7 linked regions of the Callithrix jacchus genome follow. The protein of the gene in region 6 interacts with the protein of the main gene of each other region in a biochemical or structural test. Links are inferred from orthologs where the notes say so. Each region holds a gene or a part of one and is shown on either strand. Other genes may lie near its edges.

Region 1 (3,934 bases), about 20 Mb from region 6:
TAGGATATATTTTGAAGAAAGAGTTAATAGAATTTCCCAATAGATTGAATTAGGATATGAAAGAGCATTTTCCAAAATGACTCCGATTTTGATTTTTACTTATTTTTAAAAGAAAACCTATAATAAAACATTGGAAAGCCAGCATTGACCTTCTAAAATAAAAACAAAATTATTCAAGAGCTTTTTCTTACTAGTATCCTCCAAATCGGGTACCCTATGTGGTACCAATAGACTCTTGGAAATGCTAACAGTTTTGGAAATTTGGAGGAAAAAGCATTGCGAAGAGTTTCAATTACTAAGAAAAGAGTCCAGGAGATGGGGTGGTGTATATTAGCCTATACTCTTGGAAATGCTGACAGTTTTGGAAATTTGGAGGGAAAAGCATTGAGAAAAGCTCCAATTACTAAGAAAAGAGTTCAGGAGATGGGGTGGTATATATCAGTATCTCTGGACCTCAGTGACCCCACTGCCTGCAGGGCTTGGGTCCTCAGGGTATCTCCCTCCCCACAAGGAGGTGGAGAGGGTATGTTGTCTTGAAATACTGGGGTTGTAACCCGGTGTATGGACAGTCCCATTCCAGGATCGGGCACTCGGCTCCATTTCCATAGGCCCTCAAGGGTTCCAGGATTGCCCCGTGGGAGGAGTTTCAGTGCTGCATCTAGTGAGAAACTGTAGGATGCTCAGAAACATGTTTTGAAGCTACTGTGCACAGAAAGAAGACTCTTCATTCAGGTTTGTATTACAAATCAATACAAGTAGCTAAGTCGTATCTGAAGATCTTTGTTTACACTTTGTATATGACAGAAAATCTCCAGTTGTCTGTATCCAGGACAATTACTTACTTTTATTACAATGTATGCTGATTTGGTTAGTGGAAGCTACTAGCGGCTACTGTTGGGGTGGGAGCTATCTAATTCCCACTCCCAGGCTTGGCCATCGACGCAAACGCCTCCGGCGGCCGATCGGAAGTTGGCGTTGTCCGGCGTTGAGCCAGGCCCGAAGGCTTCCTTCAGCTGCCCGGGCAAGACCCCCCTCCCTCGGTCCCGCAGCGGTCACTCAGCCCCAGGCGCGCATGCGCTGACCCCAGCGGGCGTTCTCCCAGGCTCCCTCCCTCCCTCCCTCCCTCCCTCATCCGGGTCCTGGGCGAGCGGGCGCCGTGCGCGTGTCCCGCAGTCGAGCTGCTAATAAAGTTGCAGCGAGAAGCGCCGCGACCGCGTCGGGAGAGCGCGCCCAGCCGGCCGGTGAGTGAGTGAGGGTCCCCGGCGCGCGCGGGCGAGCTGGACCAGAGGCTGCAGGCCCTGCCCGTGCGGATTCGGGCCGAGGCGGGGGCGTTCGGCCGCGGCGGAGCGGAAACTACCAGGGGCCTGCCGGGCCGGAGGTAGGCCGAGTCTTGGCCTGCTGGGGTCCCGGCTGGCAGACACTGTGCGGCCCAGCGGCTGCGGAGGCCTCTCCTGCGGCCCGGGGCGTCCTGAGGCGGGGCCGGGGCCGGCCCTCATCCCAGCCCCGCTGTTACCACCCGGACTTAGGAGGGAGGCATCCGGGACGTCCTGGAGGGGATCCCCTGACCCCTCGTCTGTTCTAGAGAGCGGTTTGCTTTCCTACGTCAAACTGATGTACCACCCTCGATACACATCCCTGATAGGACTGCAGTGCTCGGGGGAGCAGCCTGGGCTTCTGCACTGCAAAGCTGTCCAGTGGCTGGATGAATCCGTGCCGCGGTCGGTTTGTGTTTCAAAGATAAGGATCCGCGCTTATCGGTTTTAATTACACTCGGGGCAGTTGTGACCGGCTACTGCAATCAGCTGGTAGTTAGACCTGGTTTCCGCCACTTGCCATGTCAGTTTTCACCACGGCAAGGATTTCTTCTACTTGTAAACTTCTCTATGCTGCAAACAGAATGCCAAAGCAGCGTCTTTTTGCCTTCACCATATTCAGCCGCTGGCCAGGCCCTATACTTCAACATCAGGGCCCAAATTAATATTCCAGTCTCTTCCCTTTCTCCTCCCCTTTTACCCTCTACTTCTCAGCTGCTGTTATTACGTGGAGTTTGGAGCCTAAGCTTTGAAAACTCCCATGTGGCGCGCCCGTCTTAAGTCTGAGCATGCTCAGTAGCCAAAATAGATTTTTGGTTGCAGAAAACTCGGGCGAGGATAGTCGGGGTGTTTGGACATTTGACGGCTTCCTAACAGAACCTTTCGATTCTGGTGGTGATGGCATTGGAGAATGGAGCTTAGGCCAGTCTGTAGGTGAGGAGTGGCTGCACACCCTGAGCCAGATCGTTATCTTGATTGTAAAGACAATGTTTCCTGACCAGCTGGAGGTTTGGAGGGGGTGTGGTGTTGGGGGGTGGCGCAGGGCTGCTTGTGTGTTTAAATGGGTGTGGTGCTAAGTATATCTTGTTTACCTTATCTGTGGAAAAGTTTTGAAGTCTGGTTAGGTTTGTCACATCATGCCTGTTGCCTAGCGCTATGAAAAGTGTTCTTATCTAGCAGAAAAGATTGGATAGGTGGAGGTCGTGGCTTGGCCTCACAAAAGTTGAGAGGAAAGGGTATTTGGATTGCGTTTTTTAAAACTCTTATTTAAAACTAGAGTACTTGAATTTCCTTAGAGTACCTGAATTGCCCAGAGTGAATTAGTTTTTAATTTTAATTTGAAAGATGAAAGTTTGAAAATCTTAGTCCTAGTAGGTTTAGTAACTTTCCAAATAGCTTACAATTCCTGCTAGATGCCGACGCAGTAGTGTCCGTTGTGGGAAAACAGCACCTACACTCAGTGGGACAGTTTTACATTTATTGATCCAAATACCATTATGAAATTAGTGTTCCAGATTTCATAAGGGGCTATTTGTGGATGTGTGACAAACCATTTTAGTCTTTTATTCCTTTGGTAACTATTAATATTTTTCTCTCTACGGCGAAAATTGTAGAAATGCAAAACTTAGAAGAGACAATTAAACAAAACTTAACCCTCATAAAGGTTGTAGATACTATGTTTAGGTTTATAAAATTTAAATTTGATGATTGTATGATTGTTCCTGTACATCTTCCTTTGCTTCCCTCTCCACATTGCTGCTCCCTCAGTCTTTTTTACATTACTGCTTTTAATTTACCCATGTATCTTTGTTACAGATACCTTATTCTTCATTTTGTGCTTCCATTCCTTTCAGATCATAGCCGAAATAAGCAATAAAAGTTAGATGAACCCTCTCAACTGACTTTCCTCTCAGGTTTTAAAGGTATCCACATGATATGGTCTAATTAAAAGGAGGAAGAGAGGAGCAAACTGGAAAAAAATAAAATATTTTCATAGTTTCTGTACAGATCTGGTAGTATTATCTTTGTGTCTGGTTCACTGTGGAAGGCGCCACAGAAATGGGTAGATTGATATGTGTTGCATTTCTTTCCCCTCTGGCAAAGTCAGCTATTAATTTCAGTGGGAGACAGTGGCAGAAGGTTGTTACTAATGAGGTTTGAATCAGATTGTTGTTTATTGTTGGTTATGTAACATGCTGCTGGGAGTATTATTAAAAGTTGCATTCTGTAGTAAAGTAAAGGCAAGTAAATTCTGCTTACCCTCTTCACTGGGTTTTAATTCTTGGCTGAACCTGAAGGCACATTAGACTGCAACCATAATTATACCTGGGCAGCCTGTCTCTTTCCTGTTTTCATCATGAACCCAAACATTATGATTTGCAGTGATGATCTTTTTTGTCCTTTGCATTAAACGGAGGCACTGTGTTTTCTCTTTCTACTGAAAACAGATTTGTACCATGGTCAAATTAAAGAGTTTAGTGTTTTGAAAACTAGGCAGTAAAATACCAGTTTTTCATTTATTAATACAGTAACAAATTGAAATACCATCTAAAAAATCTATTTAATATATATTCAATTTTAATATTACTGGTATTTTGTGGAGTTAAGAAAACTTTTTGTTT
Region 2 (4,222 bases), on a different chromosome or scaffold from region 6:
GCAGCAGGGTCCAGCTTGAACCTTAAACCCCAGTCAAGGTCTCACTCTGGCTAGGTATCGGGCTAGCCTTGGCCCTGGACATTTCAAGGAACTAAGACTCAAGGCTTGTTGTCCAAGCTTCTTCCAGGGGTGCAGCCAGACTTTCCCCTGCTGCTTCTAGTCACCCCAACCCACAAGGCTGGAGGCGTGGCCTCAGGGAAAGCAGACAAGCCACCCTTGGCCAGAGACCACTCCTGGGCGAGGAGCTGCAGAATCAGAGGGGTGGCGCCTGGGCCCCTCCGCAGGCAAGTGCCACCACACCAAGCGCTCGCGAGCACGATGGTTTCCGTGGTGACGGCGGAAGTGGCTGACCCGCAGGGTTCTGTTTCCTCCCGCCCTCCCAGACACACTGAGCTGCGATTGGATGGGAAGCTGACTCCCGCCTATATCCCCTTTTTCAGATAGTGGGTTGAAAGCCGTGAGACCGCAGTGCGTCTCTGCTGGAATTGGGGGCCCACTCCCAGAGCTGCCCGGCTCCGCCCCCACATCGCGTTCCCCAAGTGTCCAGCCCGACAGGTCTTCCTCTACACCACCTTAACCCTCCAGAGTGCTTACCACCATCTGGCACAATACATGTTTTGTTAGTTTACCTCAATCAGAATCTCCAGGAACTGGGATCTTTGGGTTTGCGATGGGACAATGAAGGTGCTCGACCTCGCACCCTCTGGGTAACGCCTCTAGTCTCACTCAGAGTCTCGCCGCGATCACCCTGCCTTTGTCTGTGACCCATGGGGTCAAAGGCTCTGACCCACCCGCGCCGCGCTCTGCACAAGTACAACATAGGATGAAGTGACCGCGAGCGAAACACCCCACGTCTGCCCCACTCAAAGATGGCGGCTAACCACACTTCCTGCCCGACCCCGCTAGAGTCACCGGAAGTGACCCGCCGGGCAGCCGAAGCGTCAACTCCAAGAACGGAAATACCCGAATCCAGCCGAAGGAGGCCGAACCCCAAACTCCATCCCTGAGCAACGCGAGTTTGCCGCGGCTGCGCAGGCGCACAACGCAGGCCGGGCGGGAAGACCCAAAGCGGACAGGCGGCGGAAATATCCGAAGCGGCGGGGCGCCCGAGGCCGTTACCGACCTCCGCGCTAAAGCCGCTGCTGCCGCGGAAACCGATCCTTCAGTACTCAGCCCCCGTCACCGCGGCTGCCCCGTCCTCCTCCCACCCCGAGCCGCAGCTCCCTCGCGGACGGATCAGCTGAGCGGCCAAACGGCGCGGCCGGGGGAAACCAGAGTCCGCAGCTGCGGCGGGGCCTGAGACCAGAGCGGGCGAGGGCAAGGAAGGAGCAGCCGGGGGCGATAGGGGCGGGGCCGGGCGGCCCGAGAACACCCGAGTTTGGCCGAGCGCTGCCGTTCGAGCCCGAGACTCCAGGCCAGGCCAGAGCCGGACTACGGGAGCCGAGTCGGGCCGCGCGGTGGGCGCGGAGCAGAGCAGAGCGGCGCGGCAGGCCGGGCGGGTGGCGAGAGCCGCGGAGGCCGCAGCGGCGGGTCCGAGGAGCAGAGGCGACGCGGGCGGCGGCGGGAGGCCGGGTGGCCGGGGTCCCGGGCCCCGCGGCGGCGGCAGCGGCGGCGGCGGCGGCAGGATGATCAAGCTGTTCTCGCTGAAGCAGCAGAAGAAGGAGGAGGAGTCGGCAGGCGGCACCAAGGGCAGCAGCAAGAAGGCGTCGGCGGCGCAGCTGCGGATCCAGAAGGGTAGGGGGTCAGGGGATGGGGCTGGAGCCAGAGTCGGAGTTCAGGGCCTGAGGCTGGGTGATGTGGGCGTCAGGAGGGGATCATGCGATCGCCGAGGGTCAGAGGTGGAGGGCCCCTAGTGTAGCGGGTCGGAGGTCAGGTCTTGAGGGTTGGGGTCATGCAGTCACGGGGAGGGGGGTCAGAGATAGGGGCCCAGTGTGTGGTGGTTTAGGATATTAGGAAGGCCTGTGTCTGGTACGAGGGACCCGGAATCTCAGAGTCAGGCAGTGGAGTGGAGGAGCTGGGGACTCGAGAGTCTGGGGGTTAGACGGGAACTTGGGTTTGGGATGACAGGAGGAGAGAGGGATAGTAGAGGCCAGGGGCTGGGGATATGAATGGGAGAAGACTCCGTGTATCTCAAGAGTCAGACGGGTGGACTAGGTTGGAGGACCCGAAACTCATGGGCCTCAGAGTCACAGCAATTTGGGGTATGGGGTGACAGGTGGTGGAGAGAAGGTTAGTGACTACCAGGGATTGGAGACAGGGGTGAGAAGAAATTTAGCCTATTGTGCTGTGAACCTCGGAGTCAGAGGGAGTGGGCTAGGGTGATGAGGGTTTGGGGACTTGAGAGTGTGGGGGTCAGGTGGGAAGAAGGCCTTTTTCTCTCTCAGAGAAAAAGGACAGTGAGGACTGAAAATTGGTGAGGGTAGGCAGGACCCTTGACTTTGGGTGGACAGGTAGGAACATCTTGGATGGGGAGCCTGGGATTCAGGGTGGTCAGAGGATATTTGGAGCGGGAGCATTTGGGAGCTATGGATGCAGAAAATTGGGCGTTTACCCTGGGCCAGGAGTTGGGACACGCAGACTGAACATACCTGTTTGGGGTATGCCATATATCCACAAGAGCCAAACAGGAGAAGGGAGAGGGCTGGAGGTGTGGAGCACAGCCCAGGACAGAGGCTTGGGGGTCCAGGAGGAGGCCATAGGGGCTGTGCTGACAACACCTGCCCTAAGTGTCCTGCTGTCTCCCTCTTTGTCACTTTTTCCCCCTCCCTCTTTCTCCCTCCCCCTTTCTTTCCCCAACTCTCTGCTGCCCAAACCCAGACATAAACGAGCTGAACCTGCCCAAGACGTGTGATATCAGCTTCTCAGATCCAGACGACCTCCTCAACTTCAAGCTGGTCATCTGTCCTGATGAGGTGAGGGTGCATATGGCTGGATTCACAGAAGCAGATCAAGAGTGTCCCCACTGAGAGGACGGAGACATGTTCTGTCAGGCCCCACAGGATTGAACCCTAAAATCTTCTTCTCCCCCTTTCCCTCCCAGGGCTTCTACAAGAGTGGGAAGTTTGTGTTCAGTTTTAAGGTGAGTCCCAGGTGGGCAGGGATGGCTGCCTGGACTGAGGAGGCAGCAGCTGAGGCCCTTCCAGGCACCAATCCATCTCCCTTTTCTTTTCCTGGAACCAGGTGGGCCAGGGTTATCCGCATGATCCCCCCAAGGTGAAGTGTGAGACAATGGTCTATCATCCCAACATTGACCTCGAGGGCAACGTCTGCCTCAACATCCTCAGGTGAGGGCACTGGCCCTCTACTGCCTTCCCCAGCCCTGCCTGTCATACCCCCCTCATGGTCTTCTGGGCACTACATCAGTCTCTGTGCCTACCCACCCCTTTGTTGTCTGTGGTTTCTTCATTTCCCAGTCATCTTCCTCATGGCCTGACCTTGGTTTTCTCCCTGTCCTGGCCTGCTCCACACCCTCCCTCCCAGTCTCCCACATCCTCACTCTCCTATGCCCTGGATCTGACCTGTCCAATATCAGAGGGGCCTATGGCAATCTCCCACTCACCAAGCCCTGACCCTGATGCTCTCTGTCCACAGAGAGGACTGGAAGCCAGTCCTTACGGTAAACTCCATAATTTATGGCCTGCAGTATCTCTTCTTGGTGAGTAGGAATAGGTGGTTGGGTTTGGGGAGATCGGTCTTCTGTCTCTCTGGCCTGTTGACCCCACCTGTACTGGCCACAGGAGCCCAACCCCGAGGACCCACTGAACAAGGAGGCCGCAGAGGTCCTGCAGAACAACCGGCGGCTGTTTGAGCAGAACGTGCAGCGTTCCATGCGGGGTGGCTACATCGGCTCCACCTACTTCGAGCGCTGCCTGAAATAGGGTTGGCGCACACCCACCCCCGCCACGGCCACAAGCCGTGGCGTCCCCTGCAAATATTTATTGGGGGCCACCGGCAGGGGGTTGGGGGGCAGCCGGTGGGGGAATTCCCTGCCTTGGCCTTGCCTCCCCTTCCTGCTACCTGCCCCTAGTTTGTTTTTTTTTTTTAAACCACCATGTGATTAAGGTCGGTGTTGCCTCCCCCGACCCACTCAGCAATGGGAAATGAATTGGCTTGTCTAGCCCCCTGCTGGGTGTTTGTTCAGCCCCCACTCTGGGCTGTGGAGTGGGTGGGCAAGGGGCCTGGGTAGCTGGGCCCAGGCAACCCACCCCTCCACCTCTGGAGG
Region 3 (3,987 bases), on a different chromosome or scaffold from region 6:
GACTCCCCATTCCCCCTGCCCTCTTCTTCCTCTTTTGTCCGTCGAAATCGGTTAACTTGGGTCTTTCCGGATCCGAGGTACTGTTAGCTCCTGCAAGATCTACAGGATAAATGAGTTTAGTCCTGGTGTACGTCAAGACGCTAGGGATCTGGCGCCCCACTAGAGGAGACACCCACTAATTCGCTGTACCCTACTTGCAAGCCCCTCCTCCCGCCCCTCTTCCCCAGCCTTAAGCCTTTTCGTCCCCTCAGGGGTCTTGGGATTGTTGGATTCTATCGTACCCAAAATACTGTACATTCTATTGTGCAATATTGTATATTCTATTGCACAATTTATCTCAGACAGTTCTCAGCTTTAAGGACCGGGATCAGAATTCATCGTGAAAAGGGGGCCGAGGGTGCTTCTCCACGCTGGGTAACTTCCTCCAAGTGTTCCAGCCTCGACCTTCCCTTTCCATTGTCAAGCTCTGCCACTCCACACTCCTTCCCTTAATCTTCACGTGGAGACCTAAGCTGGGGGGTTAGGAAGCGGAGAGCGGCGGGACTTGGAAGAGCCAGTTTGCAGCTAGCCTGTCGCCTCTCGGGTCCAAACCCGAGGCTGGCCCAGGGCGAGTACCTGGGTGGGGCCCTAGACCACAGGAGGGGAGGCCGCCAAAAGGAGAAAACCCTCTTCCTTGGAAACAAAATTGTATGTGTGGTGGGTGCGCGTGTGTCTGTTTATTTAAAAACAAAACCACGTTAAAAGGGCCGCCCCTCTTCCACAGGTCCGACCACCCGCAGCGAGTTTGCCAGGAAGAGGGGCAATTCTGAAGGGGAGTCGCCAACGCCCACTGAGTGCCGCCTCAGAGACGGAACCGTTCGCCCAGACCTCGTAGGCTCCAAGCAGCCAGTTCCCGGGCCCCGCGCGCAGACGCTGCGGCGAAGGAGGGGACTCGGGTGCCGCCAGAGCCCCGCAGAGCCAGCGGCAGCGCAGACTCCCGGTTCGCTGCCTCTCCCAGCCCCGCGGCCTGGGCCGTCAATCAAGCCCAGGCGGGCTGCCTCTCCCAGCCCCGCCTTTGGGCTGCAGAGGGTGGCCAATCAGAGCCAAGCTCCGCAGCGATGAGCTCAGCCGGCTCGTTTCCCATTGGACGGCTATATTAAGAAAGTGGCCGGACTCTTTAAATAGCGGGCGCTAGGGCCGCAGCCCTCATCTGCCGCAGCTATCTGACTGTGTCGTGTTTTCTCTTGTGTACACGACAAGGCCCGGAGAGACCCAGGAGGGAGCTAGGCCGAGTCCGCCGCCCAAGCCCGCGTAACGCACAAAGCTGCCGATTCCCGGCCCGGGGCGAGCAGAGCGACCACCGCCCGGAAGCAGCGCGGCGAGACGGAAGGTGCGCCCTATGCCCCCGCGCCCCTATCGCCTCCGCCGCGGCAGCCGGAGCTCAGCGAGAGAACGCGCCACCGCAGGGCCCGGGTGCAGCTAGCGACCCTTGACCCTGCGCGCAGCCAGAGGTGAGCAGTGAGCGGCGAGCGGGACGGCAGCGAGGCGTTCGCGGGCCCCCTCCTGCTGCCCGGGCCCGGCACGCTCATGGCGGCCATCCGCAAGAAGCTGGTGGTGGTGGGCGACGGCGCGTGTGGCAAGACGTGCCTGCTGATCGTGTTCAGTAAGGACGAGTTCCCCGAGGTGTACGTGCCCACCGTCTTCGAGAACTATGTGGCCGACATCGAGGTGGACGGCAAGCAGGTGGAGCTGGCGCTGTGGGACACGGCGGGCCAGGAGGACTACGACCGCCTGCGGCCGCTCTCCTACCCGGACACCGACGTCATCCTCATGTGCTTCTCGGTGGACAGCCCGGACTCGCTGGAGAACATCCCCGAGAAGTGGGTGCCCGAGGTGAAGCACTTTTGCCCCAACGTGCCCATTATCCTGGTGGCCAACAAGAAAGACCTGCGCAGCGACGAGCATGTCCGCACAGAGCTGGCCCGCATGAAGCAGGAACCCGTGCGCACGGATGACGGCCGCGCCATGGCCGTGCGCATCCAAGCCTACGACTACCTCGAGTGCTCGGCCAAGACCAAGGAAGGCGTGCGCGAGGTCTTCGAGACGGCCACGCGCGCCGCGCTGCAGAAGCGCTACGGTTCCCAGAACGGCTGCATCAACTGCTGCAAGGTGCTATGAGGGCCGCGCCCGTCGCGCCTAACACTGTCAGCGCGGCTCCCCCTCCTGGACCCGTCCCCCACGAGCCCGGAGAAGGGGAGACCCGTGTCCCACAAGGACCCTACTGGACTGCCTGGCATCTGTCTGCTGGCGGCTCTGGCTCGCGCCAGAATTCGGCGTGGGCGTCGGGCGCCCCCTTCCCAGTGTCTGTGTGCGTCCAGCTGTGTTGCACAGGCCTGGGCTCCCCGCTGAGTGCCAAGGGTCCCCTGAGCATGCTTTTCTGAAGAGCCAGGCCTCAGAGCGTGTGGCTGTGTGTCTGTTCGACTCTCCTCGCCCCATTTTCACCCCACCCCCGTCTCTGATCCCCGGGGGCGAGATTGGCGCGGGAGTGTGGCCGCGCCCCATCAGATGTTCGCCTTTCACCAGCGGGCGTCTGATATCCCTTGTCTGTAACATAGACCCGGGGTACTGCGGGAGGGGAGGGCTGGGGAGGATAGGGGAATGTTATATAAATATAGATATAATTTTATTTTCGGAGCTAAGATGGTGTTATTTAATGGTGGTGATGGGTGAGCGCTCCGGCCCAGGCTGGGCCAGACTCCTGTCCAGGCATGAACAGGACTTGGCCGTCTTTCTGACCCCTGGGGAAGACATTTGCAACAGACTTGGGGAGGACGCAGCTTTCAGTTCAGCCTCTCCTGCGAGCCAGCCCCCTGCGAACCGTTTGCCAGTCATCGGCGGGAGGAGGGAGGGTGCGCTGTGGGCTTGTTTTTGCCATAAGCGAACTTTGTGCCTGTCCTTCAAGTGAAAATTGTTCAGTCCAAGAAACTGATGTTTGATTTATTTAAAGGCTAAAATTTGTTTTTTGAAAATTCTTTGCACAATTGTTTCATTGTTTGACACTTAATGCACTTGTCATTTGCATACGACAGTAGCATTCTGACCACACTTGTACGCTGTAACCTCATCTACTTCTGATGTTTTTAAAAAATGACTTTTAACAAGGAGAGGGAAAAGAAACCCATTAAATTTCGCTTTGTTTCCTTGAAGAAAGTGGCAACACTGTTTTGTGATTTTATTTGTGCAGGTTATGCACACAATTTTGATAAAGGGCAGTAACAAGTATTGGGGCCTATTTTTTTTTTTCACAAGGCATTCTCTAAAGCTATGTGAAATTTTCTCTGCATCTCTGTACAGAGAATACCCCTGCCCCTATATTTCCTTTCTTCCCCTCCCCTCCCTCCCAGTGGTACTTCTACTAAATTGTTGTCTTGTTTTTTATTTTTTAAATAAACTGACAAATGACAAAATGGTGAGCTTATGATGTTTACATAAAAGTTCTATAAGCTGTGTATACAGTTTTTTATGTAAAATATTAAAAGACTATGATGACATTTATAAAATGGCTCTTGTGGTTTAATAGTATCCTTGTGAATCTGGGACGAGGGAGACATTCTCTGAGGCGAGATCCTTTCTTGCCAACTCCGTTTGCCTTATAGCAAATGTGGTAAATGAGGATGAAGTCCTGTTGGGAGCATGTAGGGGTTGGGGGTTGGGGTACCAAGGGAGAGACCAGTTTGTTCCTGTCAGCATTCCTAGAGGAAGATGAGTGGATACCCCGACATCCAGTGCAAAAACCTTTGACCTATTATGTACTCAATTGAATTAGGTGAGACTGCAGATCTTGATTTCATTCACCTGTGTGTGTGAAACACACCTGTGTCTAAGTCTATTCAGACTTTGTTTATTGAGTCTTGGAAAGGTGTCATTTGTGCATTTTAAATTTAGATGACTTTTTTATTAATCATTGGTGTGGGATCAGGCCCTCTCTCAGGAGCCTGTTTACTGGGT
Region 4 (3,500 bases), on a different chromosome or scaffold from region 6:
AGCAGTTTGGGAGGCCGAGGCAGGTGGATCACGAGGTCAAGAGATCGAGACCATCCTGTTCAACAAGGTGAAACCCCGTCTCTAGTAAAAATACAAAAAGTTAGCTGGGAATGGTGGCACGTGACTATAATCTCAGCTACTCAGGAGGCTGAGGCAGGAGAATTGCTTGAACCCAGGAGGCGGAGGTTGCCGTGAGCCAAGATCTCGCCATTGCACTCCAGCCTGGGTAACAAGAGCGAAACTCCATCAAAAAAAAAAAAAAAAAGAAAGCCCCTTGAGGTGGTGGCTCACACCTGTAATCCCAGCACTTTGGGAGGCCGAGATGGGTGGATCACAAAGCCAGGAGTTCAAGATCAGCCTGGCCAAGATGGTGAAACCCCATCTCTAATAAATAAAATAATCAATCAATCACATCTGCTACAAATACTGCAGACCTCACCTCTTCCCCTGGCTATCTTGCCCACATTAGTTTCAAGGCCTCTCACAATAGTTTCAAGGCCTCCCCTTATCACCTCCCTCCTCCACCACCCTGCAGTTAACAAGTGTGTGCACCTAATAACCTGTGGAAACCAGAACTTGGGGCCAGTGGTCCCCATGCTTGTGTTGGTCCCCTGAACCCATGCTGTAAAATTCTACTCTTCTGTCTTTGTCTTTATTTCCTTTTCTCAATCCTTTGTCACCGCCAAGACTAAGGGCACCCATGAATGGGGTCGGGGCTGGTACCCAACAAATTTACCCTTCTATTACAGGAGGTTGAGCATGTACCTGGATGTGAAAAGAGTGCTCTCTCACCTTATGTGTTGCATTATTTCAGCCATTCAGACATTCTTGAATAGTAAAGGCACAGCCAAAGGTCTCTCCTGTCATCTCAGGCCTTGCCTAACACCCAGCGTTGTGTCTTTTCTTTCCTACCAACTCAGAATGCAGATTTGTCTCCATGTTTCCACATTGCAGCAGAAAATTTACTTAGTGTGGTATCTCCCTTTCTTGTCTGTGTACCTGGTGGAATGTTATTTAAAATTTTATATCTTCTCTCCTGTCTGTCTGCTTTCTTACCTAGTACAGTGTTATTTATAATCAAATACTTATAAGCTATGTTATTTTTGACTTGACATTTTGAATTTTGCCACTTGGTTCAGTTCTAGTATCTGGTTGTTGGTTTTTGTTTTTTTTTTCCTAACGGAGACAAGGTCTCACTGCCTAGGCTGGAGTGCAGTGGTATGATCTCTGCTTACTACAAGCTCTGCCTCTCGGGCTCAAGGAATCCTCCCACCTCAGTTTTCCAAGTAGCTGGGACTGCAGGTGTGCACCACCATACTCCGAAATTTTGCTTTTGTTGCTCAGGCTGGAGTGCAATGGTCTTGGCTTGTCTCAACCTCTACCTCCCGGGTTCAAGTGATTTTCCTGGTTCAGCCTCCCGAGTAGCTGGGATTACAGGCATGCGCCATGATGCCTGGCTAGTTTTGTATTTTTTACCAGAGATGAGGTTTCTCCATGCTGGTCAGGCTGGTCTCAAACTCCTGGCCTCAGGTGATCCGTCTGCCTCGGCCTCCCAAAGTGCTGGAATTAAAGGTGTGCACTGCACCCAGCCCACACTCAGCTAATTATTAAGGATTGCTTTGTAGAGATAGGGTCTCAAATTTCCGATTTTGACAAATTTCAACCTAAAATAAATTAAATATACTTTAATTTGAGCTTGATGCTCTTAAAAGTAAATATTCTTGTGTTTTACTGTTTTAGACTGTCATTTGAATGTACTATGGTTAGTGTCACTTAAGTGTGTAGTAGCATTAACCTTGAGCTCTTGTGGTTGTTTTTCCCATTACAGGTAGAGTTGGCTTTGTGGGACACAGCTGGACAGGAAGATTATGATCGCCTGAGACCCCTCTCCTACCCAGACACCGATGTTATTCTGATGTGTTTTTCCATCGACAGTCCTGATAGTTTAGGTGAGTGGTCCTGCGCCCAGTGTTTGTCACTGCAAGATGTATCCACCTAGGCTGGGCGAGGCAGGTGGGTCACCTGAGGTCAGGAGTTGGAGACCTGCCTGGTCAGCATGGCGAAACCCTGTCTCTACAAATACAAAAATTAGCCGGGTGTGGTGACATGCACCTGTAATCCCAGCTACTTGGGAGGGTGAGGCAGGAGAATCCGGGAGGCAGAGGTTGCAGTGATTTGGAATCGAGTCATTGCACTCCAGTCTGGGAGACAAGAAAATCTCTGTCTCAAAAAAGAAAGAAAGAAAATGTATCTAACTTGTTGGGGGATAGTTGCATGTGCCTGTAATCCCAGCTACCCAGGAAGCTGAGGTAGGAGAATTGCTTGAGCTCAGGAGTTTGTGTTTAGCCTGGGACTAGTGACCCCTGGCTCTAAAAAATTAATTAGGTTCAGGTGCTGTAACTCTTGCTTCTAATCCCAGAACTCTGAGAGGCCAAGGTGGGAGGATCACTTGAAGCCAAGAGTTTCAGATCAGCCTCAGCAACCTAGCAAGACTCCTTCTCTATTAAAATTAAAGGTTTTGTTGGAAGGCCGAGGCGGGTGGATCATGAGGTCAAGAGATTGAGACCATCCTGGTCAACATGGTGAAACCCCGTCTCTACTAAAAGTACAAAAAATTAGCTGGGCATGGTGGTGCATGCCTGTAATCCCAGGTACTCAGGAGTCTGAGGCAGGAGAATTGCCTGAACCCAGGAGGCGGAGGTTGTGGTGAGCCGAGATCGTGCCATTGCACTCCAGCCTGGGTAACAAGAGTGAAACTCCGTCTCAAAAAACAAAAATAAAAAATAAAGATTTCGGCCGGGCACAGTGGCTCATGCCTGTAATCCTAGCACTTTGGGAGTCTGAGGCAGATGGATCACCTGAGCTCAGGAGTTCAAGACCAGCCTGGGCAACATGGCGAAACCCTGGCTCTACAAAAATGCAAAAATTAGCTGGGCCTGATGGTGTGTGCACCTGAACTTCAAGCTACTTGGGAGGCTGAGGCCGGAGAATCATTTGAGACTGGGAGTCGGAGGGTGCAGTGAGCTGAGATCATGCCATTGCACTCTTGCCTGGGTGACAGAAGTGAAATTCTGTCTCAAAAGATAAAGATTTTATTTGAAAATAATTAATTTGGTCAGATGCAGTGGCTCACACCTGTAATCCCAGCATTTTGAGAGGCCAAGGCAGTTGGATCACCTGAAGCCAGGGGTTCAAGACCATCCTGGCCAACATGGTGAAACCCCGTCTCTACTAAAAATATAAAGATTAGCTGGACATGGCGGCATGTTCCTATAATCGAGCTACTTGGGAGGCTGAGGCATGAGAATTGCTTGAACTGGGAGGCAGAGGTTGCAATGAGCTGAGATTGCGCCCCTACACTCCAGCCTGGGCTACAGGCCAGGTGTGGCTAAAGGCTCTGTGCGGATGCTCATGCCTGTAATCCCAGCACTTTGGGACGCTGAGGTAGGCAGATCATTTGAGATCAGGAGTTTTGCCTTCACACAGGTTAACTTGGAAGA
Region 5 (4,232 bases), on a different chromosome or scaffold from region 6:
CGGCTCAAGCCTGTAATCTCAGCACTTTGGGAAGCCGAGGCAGGTGGATCACGAGGTCAACAGATCGAGACCATCCTGGTCAACATGGTGAAACCCCGTCTCTACTAAAAATACAAAAAATTAGCTGGGCATGGTGGTGCGCGCCTGTAATCCCAGCTACTCGGGAGGCTGAGGGAGGAGAATTGCCTGAACCCAGAAGGTCGAGGTCACGGTGAGCCGAGATCGCGCCATTGCACTCCAGCCTGGGTAACAAGAGCGAAACCCTGTCTCAAAAAAAAAAAAAGAAATGTAGGATCTCTGCCCTACCAAATAAAAGTCGCATTTTCAACAAAGCCCCGGGTGGTTCCTATGGATACTAGTTTGAGAAGCACTGCTTCACTAATTGCTCTAGTGACACTACATGGTCACTTGAACAGTATATATTAGACCACTTATATTCATCATTGTTGATCTGTTTTTATTAGGTAAAACTTCCTGCAAGTTTTCAAATTAAGAGTATTGTTAAAATAAGTTTATTTTTTCCATGTAATTGAAAATCTCCACTTCAGTAACTGGGGTCATTAAGGAATGTTAGAAAACCTTAAGCTGGTCAGTGCTTACCCACCCAACATTAAGGTCTTTCTTTTGCCTAAAGAATACACTACAGAGTGTAACTGCCCTCTCCATACTTTAAATCCTTGACTAAAACAGGCCAATCCTATTTATGTAAACCCCACTTCCCAACTTGGATCTTTGAGGAAGTACCGTATGGTTTTTCTGACTCTAAACTCTGCCTAATTTTTTAATTAGTCTCGCCACTTTCTGGCTCAGTAACTGAAACACAGCAACAGAAGTTAAAGGTATTGAGAAGTTCAGCTTGTTTCCACTTCTACACTTGGTGGATGGTTGCGATTGATTACGGAGACCCGTGACCACCACTCTGCCCCTAACCCTCTCTGTCCCAGCCCCATCGACTCAGTTGAGCTTGACTCGGGCTGCTCTAACTCTGGGAACTGGCCTGTTGGGCCTGCTCTTCTCAGTGTTGCTCCTTTAGGGTCAGACAGGCACTGGACTTCAGCACGTGGGACCGCTGATGAGCCGCCAACCTGAGTCTATTTAAAACTACTGTTCCCATCTTGAGGGGAGCCTTCTCCCACAGCATAACAAGCCCAGGAGGGCAGGCAAGTAAATACTGCTCACCTGCTCCACCGGAAATCTCAAAATCCCGGCTCAACATCGACTCAAGTTATCTGGTAATTAATCCATGACACCTCCCACCGCACACTCCTGATTGGGCGCGTGAGAGAGGACTGTGTCGGCGCGCGCTCTTACAAGTCCGGGGAATTCCATTTCCTCTTCCAACCACCGGCTTAAACATTCAGGGGCGGTGCTTTCCTGGCCGTGGCCCGCCCCAGTTCGAGCCGGTGCCTCACTGCGTCTCGCGAGAATTTATGGATTTTGGGGGCGGGACCCCGAGAGGAAGAGCGCCCAAAACTGCTCTTAAGTCATTGCAGAGCTACTGCTTCGGTTAGCCAGCCACGAAGTTCTCGCGAGAGTCGTCGCCTCAATACCAAGTGAGGAAACTGGGGGACGCTGTGGGGAGGGGCGTGGGGCTTGGTCGCGCAGCGGCTGCTTGCTTTACCTTCCTCCCATGGTCTCCTTCCGGTTCTCGATGCTTCTCTGAGCCTAAGGGTTTCCGCCACTCGTTTACCCTCCCCCCAGCCCATGATCCGCCTCCCTCCCCCGCCCTCCTAGTCCAATCTCCGATCTGTTCAATAAGAAGGTGCTGTTCCGAGAAGGACAAGGAAAAGGCATTGGCACGTATTCACTTGGCCCCGGACGTGGGAAGCAAGCCGTCTGGCTTCAGCCTTACATCGGTCCTGTGCTCGCGACGGCGGCGTTGGCGGACTGATCCGCGGCGGTGAAGAGGCAGGAGAAGGGGGAGGGGCGGAGCGTGGCAGCTGGCAGTAGTTCCGTCAGAGCGGACATCTTGTGGCTGTGTCGTGCGCGTGAGCCCCGTAGGGCCGGGGAGGCACCAGCTGCCGCGCGGGGAGGAGGCCGAGGCCGCAGCTTGAGGGAGGCCCCGGCCCCTCTGTACGCGTGGGTGTGGACGGCTAGGGAAGGGAAGGAGGCCGGCCTAGTGGCCGGCCGGGTAAGAGGGGCAGTGCGGGCCCTGGGCGGCTTGAATAGCCAGCCTATTGGGTGCGGTGGGGTAGGGTGGGAAGGCTGGAGAAGCCGGGGCCTCTCCTGCTGGAAGAGGAGGGGGGAATGGGCGCGTCCACGCGCCCAAGCCGGAGCCTCAGGGTTAGCACGGGCGCGTGGTGGAGGTAGCTGGGCGGGCGCGCGCGGGAGCGCGCTGGAAGGCGGAGTGTACGGTGGCGTCAGAGACGACACAGAATAGCTCGCTGCGAGGACAGCAACACACATCAAACCTCTCTTCCTTTATTTCCTTCCCCCTGCCCGGCCGCACCTTTGGGCAGAAACCGAAAGCAGTCCGGCGTCCATCCTGAGTCTCTTGCTTCCCCCTCCCCCTTGCCTTTCTTTGCCGTAGTGACGCCGGTATAGCGCCGACTAGGCCCCAGCTCCTCCTCTGCTGGGCTCCGGACCCTGCCCCGCACCCACCCCTTTCTCCTACGCCTCTTCCTCTCCCACCCGAGTCTCTTCCTTTCGAGAGGCCGGGAAGTTAAACTTGTAGCCACCCCCTCCGCTCTTCCCGTCACCCTCGCCCCCACTTCGGGCAGAAAGCACTGCATAGAGGCTTTTGGTGGCTTTGCTACCCCACCCACCCCGGGTCGCGTCTGTCTTAGGGAGCTGGATTCATCAGGGGCTCTCCGAGGCCTGTGCGAGTGTTGATCTGCTCCGTTTTTGCAAAAGGCGCCTGTGTCTGGCAGAGCCGGTGTGAGACGAGACAATCCTGCCCCGCCGCCGGGATAATCAAGAGTTTTGTCCGGACCTTTGAGCACACACCGAGAGAGTGAGGAGCCAGACGACAAGCACACAGTATGGCGCTGAAACGGATTAATAAGGTAACCCGCGGGAACTGAAGGAAATGGGGTCGTGGGAGAAAAGGAAGGCTCGGGCCCAGAGGAAAGCGTGGGGGTGGGAAAGAAGCATAATTCCGAAAATATCTCTTGGATCTCTTCTTCCATGGTGGGGGATGGAGAACGCGGATATACTTCTTGAAATGAAGTTTAAAGCTAGGGAACGGAGAACACTTGTGGCAAGTGAGGTGTTAGTGAGTGTGCTTCATTGGAATCGGTGCAAATTAGGGGTGGAGGAGAGTGACTTAAAGCGCCTTTATTTATTTATATTATTGTTACTATTTTTTTGGTGCTTCAGTTCTTTTGGGGTCCGAAGTAAGGAGAGCCGCTTCAGCAGATGTCATGCAGCTTCCTATTCTTGAGAGCTCCCAAACTTGACTTAATGAGATCAAGGTTCTGTAGACTTTTTAGGGGAAAGAAAGAAAACCCGGACGAAAAATCTGGCGAGTCGCGAACTTGACTGAGGGTCGGGTAGAAGTCTCTTGTCTATTGAAGGATAGTGAATAAGTCTAGTGGAGAAACTCTTCGCGGACTCTGGGTAGGGTACACCTAGTAAGTATTTGGGAGGAGATGGAATGACACAGTGTTGTCACTTCCTATATTTTGTAGTTGCAGCTTTTCACCCGAAGCTATTTTTCCGAGGCACACCGGGAACTGATGTAAAAGCCTTCTGGAAGCTCCCTTTTTCTTTTGGCCGGCGGGGGGTGGATAAGGGGTGCGATGGCCATAAGGGAAAGCTAGGTGTACCTATTTTTGCCTCATCCCATTTTAATAACACCCTTGGGGAAGATTGTTTCGTTACTTGAAATGTGGTTAGTATATTGTCGATTTAAGTTAGAAGAAAACTAGGATTTTTCAGAGCTCTGGGAGTGAGTGGAACCTCCACCTCCGGTGGTTTCGTCTCATTTTCTAGCTCTAACTTCTATCCCGCATTTTAAGATGGCGGCTGCTTTAACTGGTTCAGGCTCTTTCCGGCATCTCTTGTCGTAATAATGTGAAATAATATGTTTTGTTAAATGTTAACTTTTATATCGGGTTGTGCACTGCTGTGAGACCCTCTACTTAAAACTTACCTAAATTCAAACTCTGGCTGTGTTTTCCTTTTTTGTGACTTGTGTTTGTGTGGTGTGTTAGGTTGTTGCTCAATCGAGGAGGGTGGAGTATTTACAGCTAACTTGAAAAAAATGTCATGGAATAAATTCAGCCTTACTA
Region 6 (3,500 bases):
GGTTCTGATATCACAGTCTGACAAACATGGGAACATATTGGGGGCCCCCTCTAGATCTCCCCACCAAGACACAAAATCCCCACCAGCTAGTAGTGCCAAAACCTTGGCATCACGTTAAAAATGACTCAGCACGTGCCCTGATTCATTCTGGTTCGCTACTGAAAACAGCAGGATTGCACCTGACTTGTCACATCAATTGCTGTAATTTGAAAGCACGTTCTGGCCAGGCATGGTGGCTCACACCTTGGGAGGCCAAAGCAAGAGGATCGCTTTAGGCCAGGGGTCCGAGACCAGCCTGGCAGCACAGCAAGACCCTGTATCAAATGTTAAACATTTAATAATGTTTATAAGTGCATTTGAAAGGACAGCTCAGGACGACTGGGCACACAGCCACGCCCACGCACTTCTCAGCGCCAGTGCCTAGGCCTGAACATGGATTTGCCTCAACTCAGAGGTGGAAAAGACTGACAGGGTGGCTTCCTCGGACTGACCACAAGACCCTCCAAGCAGCTGCTCTCTCCTTGGCCCCCCTACTTTGCACCCAGAATTAGGTGGTCACTTGAAAGTCCTTCCCCACGTGGGCTCTGTCCCTCAGGCAGGCCTGGCCCCATCAGGACCCCTCCAAGCAGATCCCTGACGTGGCTGCTGAGCTGTCAGTTTCTGAAAGTCACTTCTGTTCCTATGATTTGATCACAAGTGCCAGCCATCAGGGACACGCAGGCCTCACACGGCGAATGAGCCACAGCAACTAAATGCAAACTCATCCGTGCCCCAGGTACTGGCTGTGCCCCCCAGATGACTTACCTGACATATTCTTTCTTGTTCTCCTCTGTGACAGGCACGTTTCTGCCATTAGGTTTCAGTTCATGCTGAAGAATCCGCCCGAAGGCATTGTGTTCCACGCAGAAGGTGTGGTCCAGCACCGGTGTGATGTCATTCTCTCTGTTGAAGACAGAAGGTGACGTCAGTTAGAGTTCAGCCACCATGTGCCAATGAAAGGAACATCAAGTAGGGCCATCGGGTAGACAGAGAGATGGCGTTTAGGACTCCCAGACCCAGGCTGCAAGAGAGGACAGCCGCAGGCGGACACGAAACCCATATGGGGGCGGCACCGCAAATGGTGCTGGAGGACCCGGAGACCACAGTTCTGGTTCCAGATGTCCCCGACTCCTGGCTTCCTCACTCACAGAAGGCGGGCAGCACTGAAGGCAGGAAATTGACCTGGAGATGAAGCCACACCAAGAAAATACGAGTCCCGCCTTAGAGCCAGCCTTTCCAAACACATCAGTTCAAATGCAAAAGCACTTAAAAGTGAAAATTAGCTCCTGAATCTGCCATAGGCAGATTGGAAGTTTTGTTGTTGTTGGTTTTTTTTTGAGACAGAGACTCACTTTGTCATCCAGGCTGGAGTGCAGTGGTGCAATCTCAACTCACTGCAACCCCTGCTTCCTGGGTTCAAGAAGTTCTCCTGCCTCAGCCTTTTAGGAGCTGGGACTACAGGCACATGTCACACCTGGCTTTGTTTGTGTGTTTTTAGTAGACACGGGGTTTCACCATGTTGGCCAGGCTGGTCTCGAACTCCTGATCTCAAGTGAAGTGCTTAATAACAGGCAATGAGCCAACATACTGAGTGGAAGATTTTCTACCCGGTCCCTGGGGTCCCCTCTTCACGTTGGAACATGGGACATACAACTAGGAGGCCCCCACTCCCACTCATCCACATTCCTTCTGTCTGCCAGAGCAGAGCCTGATCTTTCATCCCCACGAAATCCACAAGACCTGTGACACAGTTCATCTTGTCATTGCCTGCTGCCCTTAACAGAATGTCTAGAATAATTCTAAAGCAGAGGTACCTAAATGTTCAATTTGTTTTGATATGGGCTTGGCTCCTGTGAGGTTAACTGGAGACTCCCGTGAGTGTCACACACACCCCGAGCCTGGGGAGTAGTCTGTTAAAGTTCGTGATCTTACCTTCATAATTCAAGGAAATGAAAGAATCTAGTCCCTGAAGAGAAGCCGGCCCAACATCACAAGGAAAATAAGGCAACTGAGTTTTTTGTTTTTTTTCTTTGGCTAGATCTGGTGGGGTGGTTTTTTTTTTGTATTTATTGTAGTAGTAGGGTCTCAGGACGTTGCCCAGGCCCAGTCTCAAACTCCTGGGCTCAAGCAATCTGCCCACTCTGGCCTCCCAAAGAACCTTCTTTTTTGTTTCAGGTTATTTAATACAATGGCTTCTTTGTGTCTCTTCTTCAATTTCACACCCATCCCCAAAATACACAAACGCACACGCATGCATGCAGACAACAGAGGTGGTGGCATGTCCCACGCCAGGTAACCGTGCACCATCAGTCAATACTTACAGGATCCACACCAGGCTCTTATGCAGCTCCGGGTCCACGGATTCCAGATCCGAGAGCTGGATGGGCTTTCCCAGGAGCTGCTTATAGAAGGGCACTGTGAAGCCCCCATTGATGTAGTGCCCATGAAACACGGCCAGCCCCATGATCCGCCCCACAAAGTGGAAGTAAGACAAGTGGTCCTGTAGGGGGCACCAGAAAACACAAATTCATCAGCACAACGCTGGTCAATGTGGGAGTCTTCTTGGGAAGAGTGTCCCAGAGGCAACTCAGGAACTCACAGGCCGGGCTCATGAGCAAGTGAAAGAAGGCTGCTTGTGTAGCTGAATTTGCATAGAGTCACTGGACAATTTCAGGGCCAATACCTCCTCAGACTATATAACTTGCAGAGGAGCCCAGTCCAGTGCAAAATGAAAATGCAGAGCCCATGTTCAGCAACGACTGAGCATTTCACCTTGTGACAACAGAATCAAACCAAGCATGGGGCCTTGACACTGCAGGGCCGCGGCATCCTGCAGGACGCACGCCCAGGAAGCCAGCCCTGCATTCCCTCCCACTGCACAAGAAAGACAAGGGCAAGCCCCCTTCTTCCACCACCCCTCCCTTGATCCAGAATGAAAGGAATGAGGGAGGGAAGAAATTCTAAGAAGGGGGAACAAAAAGACCACAGGAAAATATGTATGAATAAGCCAAGTAAAATAAACAATTCTAGGCTGGGCGTGGTTGCCCGTGCCTGTAATCCCAGCACTTTGGGAGGCTGAGGCAGGCAGATCACCTGACATCAGGAGGTTGAAACCAGCCTGGCCAACATGGTAAAGCCCCATCTCCACTAAAAATACAAAAACTAGCTGGGTACAGTGGCACAAGCCTGTAATCCAAGCTACTCGGGAGGTTGAGGCGGGAGAATTGCTTGAACCTGGAAGGCGGAGGTTGCAGTGAACTGAGATCACATCACTGCACTCCAGCCTGATTAACAGAGCAAGACTACGTCTCAAAAAAAAAAACCATTCTAGAACCAGAGCCGTCTGGTTTTTAACTCAGGAACCATACGCCTCTGCTTTCAGGTTTGAATTATGTTCATCTCAGAAAATGAGTGAAAACTCTGCTTCCATGTTGGTAAAAGGTTCTTCCACATTTGAATGC
Region 7 (4,161 bases), on a different chromosome or scaffold from region 6:
TAGGGAGTGAGTTGAATTTGGTAATTAGAAGCTCAAGCTTCCAATTGGTGACCTTGGTGAAAACTGATTCTGCGGTGCTCAAAGAAGAAGCCAAGTTTTTGGGTTTTGTTTTGTTTTGAGACGGAGTCTCCCTCTGTCGCCCAGGCTGGAGTGCAGTGGTGTGATTTCCGCTCACTGTAACCTCTGCCTCCCGGGATCAAGTGATTCTCCTGCCTCAGCCTCCCGAGTAGCTGGGACCACAGATGTGCTCCACTACGTCCAGCTAATTTTTGTGTTTTTAGTAGCGATGGGGTTTCATCTTGTTGGCTAGGCCTGTCTTGAACCCATCCTCAGGCAATCTGCCTGCCTCAGCCTCCCAAAGTGTTGGGATTACAGGCTTGAGCCACCGCGCCCGGCAAGAAGCCATGTTTTAGTGGGTACACACGTGCACAGGAATTGGAGAGTGGGGAGTGTGAGTTGACTGTTGAGTAGGGCCTGTGTGTGTGTATGAGTAGGGAAGGAGCCAGTGCGGGGAGTGAGAGCTCAGAACTAGGTATTCGAAGCGGGTATTTATGAAGAGGGGTATACCTACGAGCAGACAATGCACTCAGACAAGAAAGATTTGTGCATTGGACAGAAGAGAGCTACCTGAAACTAATGCTTCTCACAGTGACAGCACTCCCCGCCCGCACACTCGCGCACACCTTTTTCCTCGGCAATAAGAACTAAGGAGGTAAGTAAGGGATCTGATAGATAATCAGTTTGTGCATATGTGCAAGGTGAGAAATTGCGACAATGCATATATTTGAGAAAAAGTGAAATCTTTAAAGGTAAAATAACAAAACCAGCTGTGGCTCCTATTGGATAAGGAATTACTAACTGATAATTTAGAAATGCCTTTAAGTGCGTTAGCAGCTCATTTGTTATCCCCATTTTCCAGATGCGCAGCCCCAGAGTCACGTGCTCTAAATGAGACTGCAAAGACCGATTCCAGCGTCCGGCGGCTCTCACCTGAAGCTGCCCAGCTGAGGTCAGCGGTGAGTAGGTGACCTGCCAGCGCCCGCGGGCCTGCGGCCGAGGACAGGGCTGGAACTACACTTCCCAGTGTGCCAGGCGGGGCGGGGCGCGGCGGGGAGGGCGCAGGCTCCTTCCCAGAAGCAAAAGCGGAAACAAAAGAGTCTCGCCGGCGTCCCCGCCCGCACACTCGCTCTCGGGCGCACACGGAGCAGGGACCGGCGCCCGGAGCGATCCTGGGAGCGGCGAGCCGGAGACCCACTGCGCGGAGCCAGCCGAGCCGCCAGAGCCCAACCCGGGACGACCCGCGCCCCCGAGCCCCGCAGCCGCCCCCCGCCGGCCGGTGTCCCCACCGCCATCCCGGACCCATGGCGCTGAAGCGGATTCAGAAAGTGAGTGCCGAGGCTGGGCCTGGGGCTGCGGGGCGGGCAGCGGCCCCCTGACCCGGCCGGTGGTCCCGAGGGACGTGCGGGGAAAGCACGGGATGGGAGGGTGGGCCGGAGCGCGGGCAGGGAGCCGGAGGCTCGGGCCGGGCCAGCGGGCACCGGACAGGTGAGGTGGGAGCTGGGGCAGGTCCCAGGCGGCCGGAGGAGCTTGGAGGCTGGGGGCCCGCTCTGCGCTCGCGCCGGAGCCGCTCCCGGAGCCCCGGGGTAGAGAGCCTCCTCCGCCTCCATACCGCCCCAAAATCTGTGCTTCACGGTCAGGGCTGGGTTTTGCCCTCCATGGGACTAGTTTTGACCCCTGTCATGCTGTGTTTTCTGCAGGCTGTTTCTTAAGCCTGTCCTTTTTTTTGTTCCTGCTTCTCCGGGCTCCCCGGGAGGGCACGGAAGGTGGGGTGGGCCTGCAGCCTTTCTCCGCGGAGCTGTCAGGGTTGGTTCTTTCTTTCCTTTGCGGTTGGCTCTTGCTCAGTTGCCCAAATGGGCTGGAAAGCTCATTTGCAGCCAAGAAGCCAGGAGAAGGCTCCTGCCCCTTCTATTTTGGTGCCTCTGCTGCTGCCACTTCAGGTCACATAGCTGTAGCGAAAACATAGTTGCTGATACACAACAAGATGACCTCCTGGCTGTGATTCACGGTGAGTCAAGCCAAACAGGTTTTTTTCCCCCTCATGATAAACTTAGATGTAAAGTTCGAGACACAACATAAACTGTCACAAATTAAATTGTTTTGATGCTTTGACACATGAGTATAGAATGAGGAAGAAATGTATATCTTCATCCAACGACTGTTTGGCCATCTCAACCCTGTGTATGGAACTGTCTTCTTTTCACAGTATTTATTGCAACCATTTCAGATGTGAACAGCTTTCGGAATTGAGATTCGGGCATTTCTTTCTGTTCATGTTTATTTCTTGGTGGTCCGTGTACTGACCCAGGTTTTAGGTTTTACAGTTATAGTTCACACTGGAAACGTTGAGAATGTGTTTGTTAAATAGGGAGTGTTTTTCAGCAAGTTAAGCAACAATGAGCAGTGTGTTTTATAGTTGTTTCAGAATACATTGATGCCCACAAAACATTTTTATCCACTTTTTTGACCAGGAGTCAATATAGCAATATATGTGTTAGAGCAGTGACATTGTATTCTGATTCACCACTGGTGGCATCTTTAGGTACAGAGGACAGCAACTTTTAGAGCCTGCTAGTTTTTTGTTTTCAATTTCTGAATCTGTGGTTCACTTATTTTTTTGTGCCATTTAAAGGTCATCTCATTGTAAAACAGTTAACAATCAGCATTTATTAAGTAATGCTGTTTTCTTGTTTGAAGGTAGTACAATTACACATTTTTTTCATATAAATATCCTAATTTTGAAGCCTCAGTCAGCATGTTTACCATACGTTGCATACTTATTAATGATGACATAATATTGGTTCACATTTGGATCAGATAATGCACATCTTCCAAGGAAGTTTTCAGTCTATTTTCTTCTTTCCTAGTTGTGAGAATTTTTCACGTGACTTTGCACACACAAGAGCTTTTTAAATTTTCTTTTTTTCTTTTTTTTAAAGCGATGGGGGTTGGGGAGTCTATGTTGCCTATGCTGGTCTTGAACTCCTGGCCTCCAGAGAGTCTGGAATTACAGGCACAAGTCACCATGCCCAACTAACAATAGCTTTTAAATGCTGTGTAATTTGTCCACAGTAAGTAGATATTCAAAGAAATATGGACAGTGTTTGTAAATACCATGCTTGGCAGTTTTCATCAATCCCGGTGCTGAACTAGTGCATTTGACTTATAATATGGTATGTGTCCATATCTTTTCTTTTTAGCATTGACAGTTATTAGTTTATAGAGTTGTCCAGTAAAAAAAATTATCTACATAGAATTGATATCAAACGTGATGAATTGATATTTTGGAGAAGAAATTGGGGGTCATATACCATCACATCTCTATGTGTTCATCTTTCTGATACCAGGCAAGTTGACTTAGACAAATCTTTCCATTAATCACATATTCAGACCATTCCCTCAAACCTGAGGGGTGATTATTTTGATTGATTCCATACTTTTCCTCCTCCTTTACCTACCTCCTTGATTAGAAGCCAATTCCAGGTTGGATGTGCTACCTGCCATATGAACAGTTACATAATCTTTTTTGATGCCATCAGTATACAAATTCTTATTTGGATCTTGCATGTTCCAGCAAATGAAGATGTATACTAACTTTTGGCCTTTCTTCTTAAGCTCAATGAAATATTATTATAATTTTCCTCTACCTAAAGTGGCAGGCCGTAGAGCTGTGTGGAACCTCAGATAAGTTTGCAGTAGTGTAGTAGAGCATACCAGCAGGGGAACAACTTCTAGGGCAGTGTCTCAGATTCTTCTGTGGGATGTTTTCTCAGACTATCATCACTTCTGTAAATGGAGAGATGCTTAATCCCTCAGATGGGTTGGGGTGGAAAGAAGACTGAGAGCCACTGATGTTCTGTCTTGTCCTTCTTATTCAAGGAAGGATCCAGAGACGTGAAGTGGTGGAGTGTTTTGTCCAAGGATAATTTCTCTCTCTCTCTTTTTTTTAAGTCTCGCTCTGTCACCCAGGCTAGAGTGCAGTGGCGTGATCTCAGCTTACTGCAACCTCCACCACCCAGGTTCAAATAATCCTCCTGCCTCAGCCTCCCGAGTAGCTGGGACTACAGGCACATGCACCACACTCAGCTGATTTTGCATTTTAGT

What was found.
Region 1: of the proteins of SMURF1 (region 6) and SMAD5, one has a biochemical effect on the other in vitro, tested with the Homo sapiens proteins (3 studies listed by BioGRID, with this or other methods). The link is inferred for Callithrix jacchus from reciprocal best matches to the Homo sapiens genes SMURF1 and SMAD5.
Region 2: the proteins of SMURF1 (region 6) and UBE2M form a complex in vitro, tested with the Homo sapiens proteins (2 studies listed by BioGRID). The link is inferred for Callithrix jacchus from reciprocal best matches to the Homo sapiens genes SMURF1 and UBE2M.
Region 3: the proteins of SMURF1 (region 6) and RHOB form a complex in vitro, tested with the Homo sapiens proteins (2 studies listed by BioGRID and IntAct, with this or other methods). The link is inferred for Callithrix jacchus from reciprocal best matches to the Homo sapiens genes SMURF1 and RHOB.
Region 4: the proteins of SMURF1 (region 6) and RHOA form a complex in vitro, tested with the Homo sapiens proteins (2 studies listed by BioGRID and IntAct, with this or other methods). The link is inferred for Callithrix jacchus from reciprocal best matches to the Homo sapiens genes SMURF1 and RHOA.
Region 5: the proteins of SMURF1 (region 6) and UBE2D3 form a complex in vitro, tested with the Homo sapiens proteins (15 studies listed by BioGRID, with this or other methods). The link is inferred for Callithrix jacchus from reciprocal best matches to the Homo sapiens genes SMURF1 and UBE2D3.
Region 7: the proteins of SMURF1 (region 6) and UBE2D1 form a complex in vitro, tested with the Homo sapiens proteins (3 studies listed by BioGRID, with this or other methods). The link is inferred for Callithrix jacchus from reciprocal best matches to the Homo sapiens genes SMURF1 and UBE2D1.

What each region holds. Positions count from the first base shown.
Region 1 is NC_133503.1:34,536,839-34,540,772, forward strand, and holds the start of SMAD5 (mothers against decapentaplegic homolog 5), read left to right. Parts: upstream 1-1,134; 5' UTR 1,135-1,378; intron 1,379-3,934. UniProt on the Homo sapiens protein: Transcriptional regulator that plays a role in various cellular processes including embryonic development, cell differentiation, angiogenesis and tissue homeostasis.
Region 2 is NC_133523.1:51,191,836-51,196,057, reverse strand, and holds the start of UBE2M (NEDD8-conjugating enzyme Ubc12), read left to right. Parts: upstream 1-1,422; 5' UTR 1,423-1,625; coding exon 1,626-1,734; intron 1,735-2,817; coding exon 2,818-2,912; intron 2,913-3,040; coding exon 3,041-3,079; intron 3,080-3,180; coding exon 3,181-3,284; intron 3,285-3,591; coding exon 3,592-3,655; intron 3,656-3,737; coding exon 3,738-3,878; 3' UTR 3,879-4,222.
Region 3 is NC_133515.1:94,759,031-94,763,017, reverse strand, and holds RHOB (rho-related GTP-binding protein RhoB), read left to right. Parts: upstream 1-1,187; 5' UTR 1,188-1,566; coding exon 1,567-2,157; 3' UTR 2,158-3,539; downstream 3,540-3,987. UniProt on the Homo sapiens protein: Mediates apoptosis in neoplastically transformed cells after DNA damage. Not essential for development but affects cell adhesion and growth factor signaling in transformed cells. Plays a negative role in tumorigenesis as deletion causes tumor formation.
Region 4 is NC_133516.1:31,971,357-31,974,856, reverse strand, and holds part of RHOA (transforming protein RhoA), read left to right. Parts: intron 1-1,828; coding exon 1,829-1,949; intron 1,950-3,500. UniProt on the Homo sapiens protein: Small GTPase which cycles between an active GTP-bound and an inactive GDP-bound state.
Region 5 is NC_133504.1:94,518,637-94,522,868, forward strand, and holds the start of UBE2D3 (ubiquitin-conjugating enzyme E2 D3), read left to right. Parts: upstream 1-1,432; 5' UTR 1,433-1,553; exon of another isoform or gene 1,554-1,848; coding exon of another isoform or gene 1,849-2,406; exon of another isoform or gene 2,407-2,571; intron 2,572-2,786; 5' UTR 2,787-2,981; coding exon 2,982-3,005; intron 3,006-4,232. Other genes in the region: uncharacterized protein LOC108590841, read right to left, coding at 1,849-2,406. UniProt on the Homo sapiens protein: Accepts ubiquitin from the E1 complex and catalyzes its covalent attachment to other proteins. In vitro catalyzes 'Lys-11'-, as well as 'Lys-48'-linked polyubiquitination.
Region 6 is NC_133503.1:14,562,010-14,565,509, reverse strand, and holds part of SMURF1 (E3 ubiquitin-protein ligase SMURF1), read right to left. Parts: intron 2,540-3,500; coding exon 2,361-2,539; intron 1,853-2,360; exon of another isoform or gene 943-1,852; coding exon 805-942; intron 1-804. UniProt on the Homo sapiens protein: E3 ubiquitin-protein ligase that acts as a negative regulator of BMP signaling pathway. Mediates ubiquitination and degradation of SMAD1 and SMAD5, 2 receptor-regulated SMADs specific for the BMP pathway.
Region 7 is NC_133513.1:72,170,918-72,175,078, reverse strand, and holds the start of UBE2D1 (ubiquitin-conjugating enzyme E2 D1), read left to right. Parts: upstream 1-1,361; coding exon 1,362-1,385; coding exon of another isoform or gene 1,386-1,667; intron 1,668-4,161. Other genes in the region: uncharacterized protein LOC144578806, read right to left, coding at 1,011-1,667.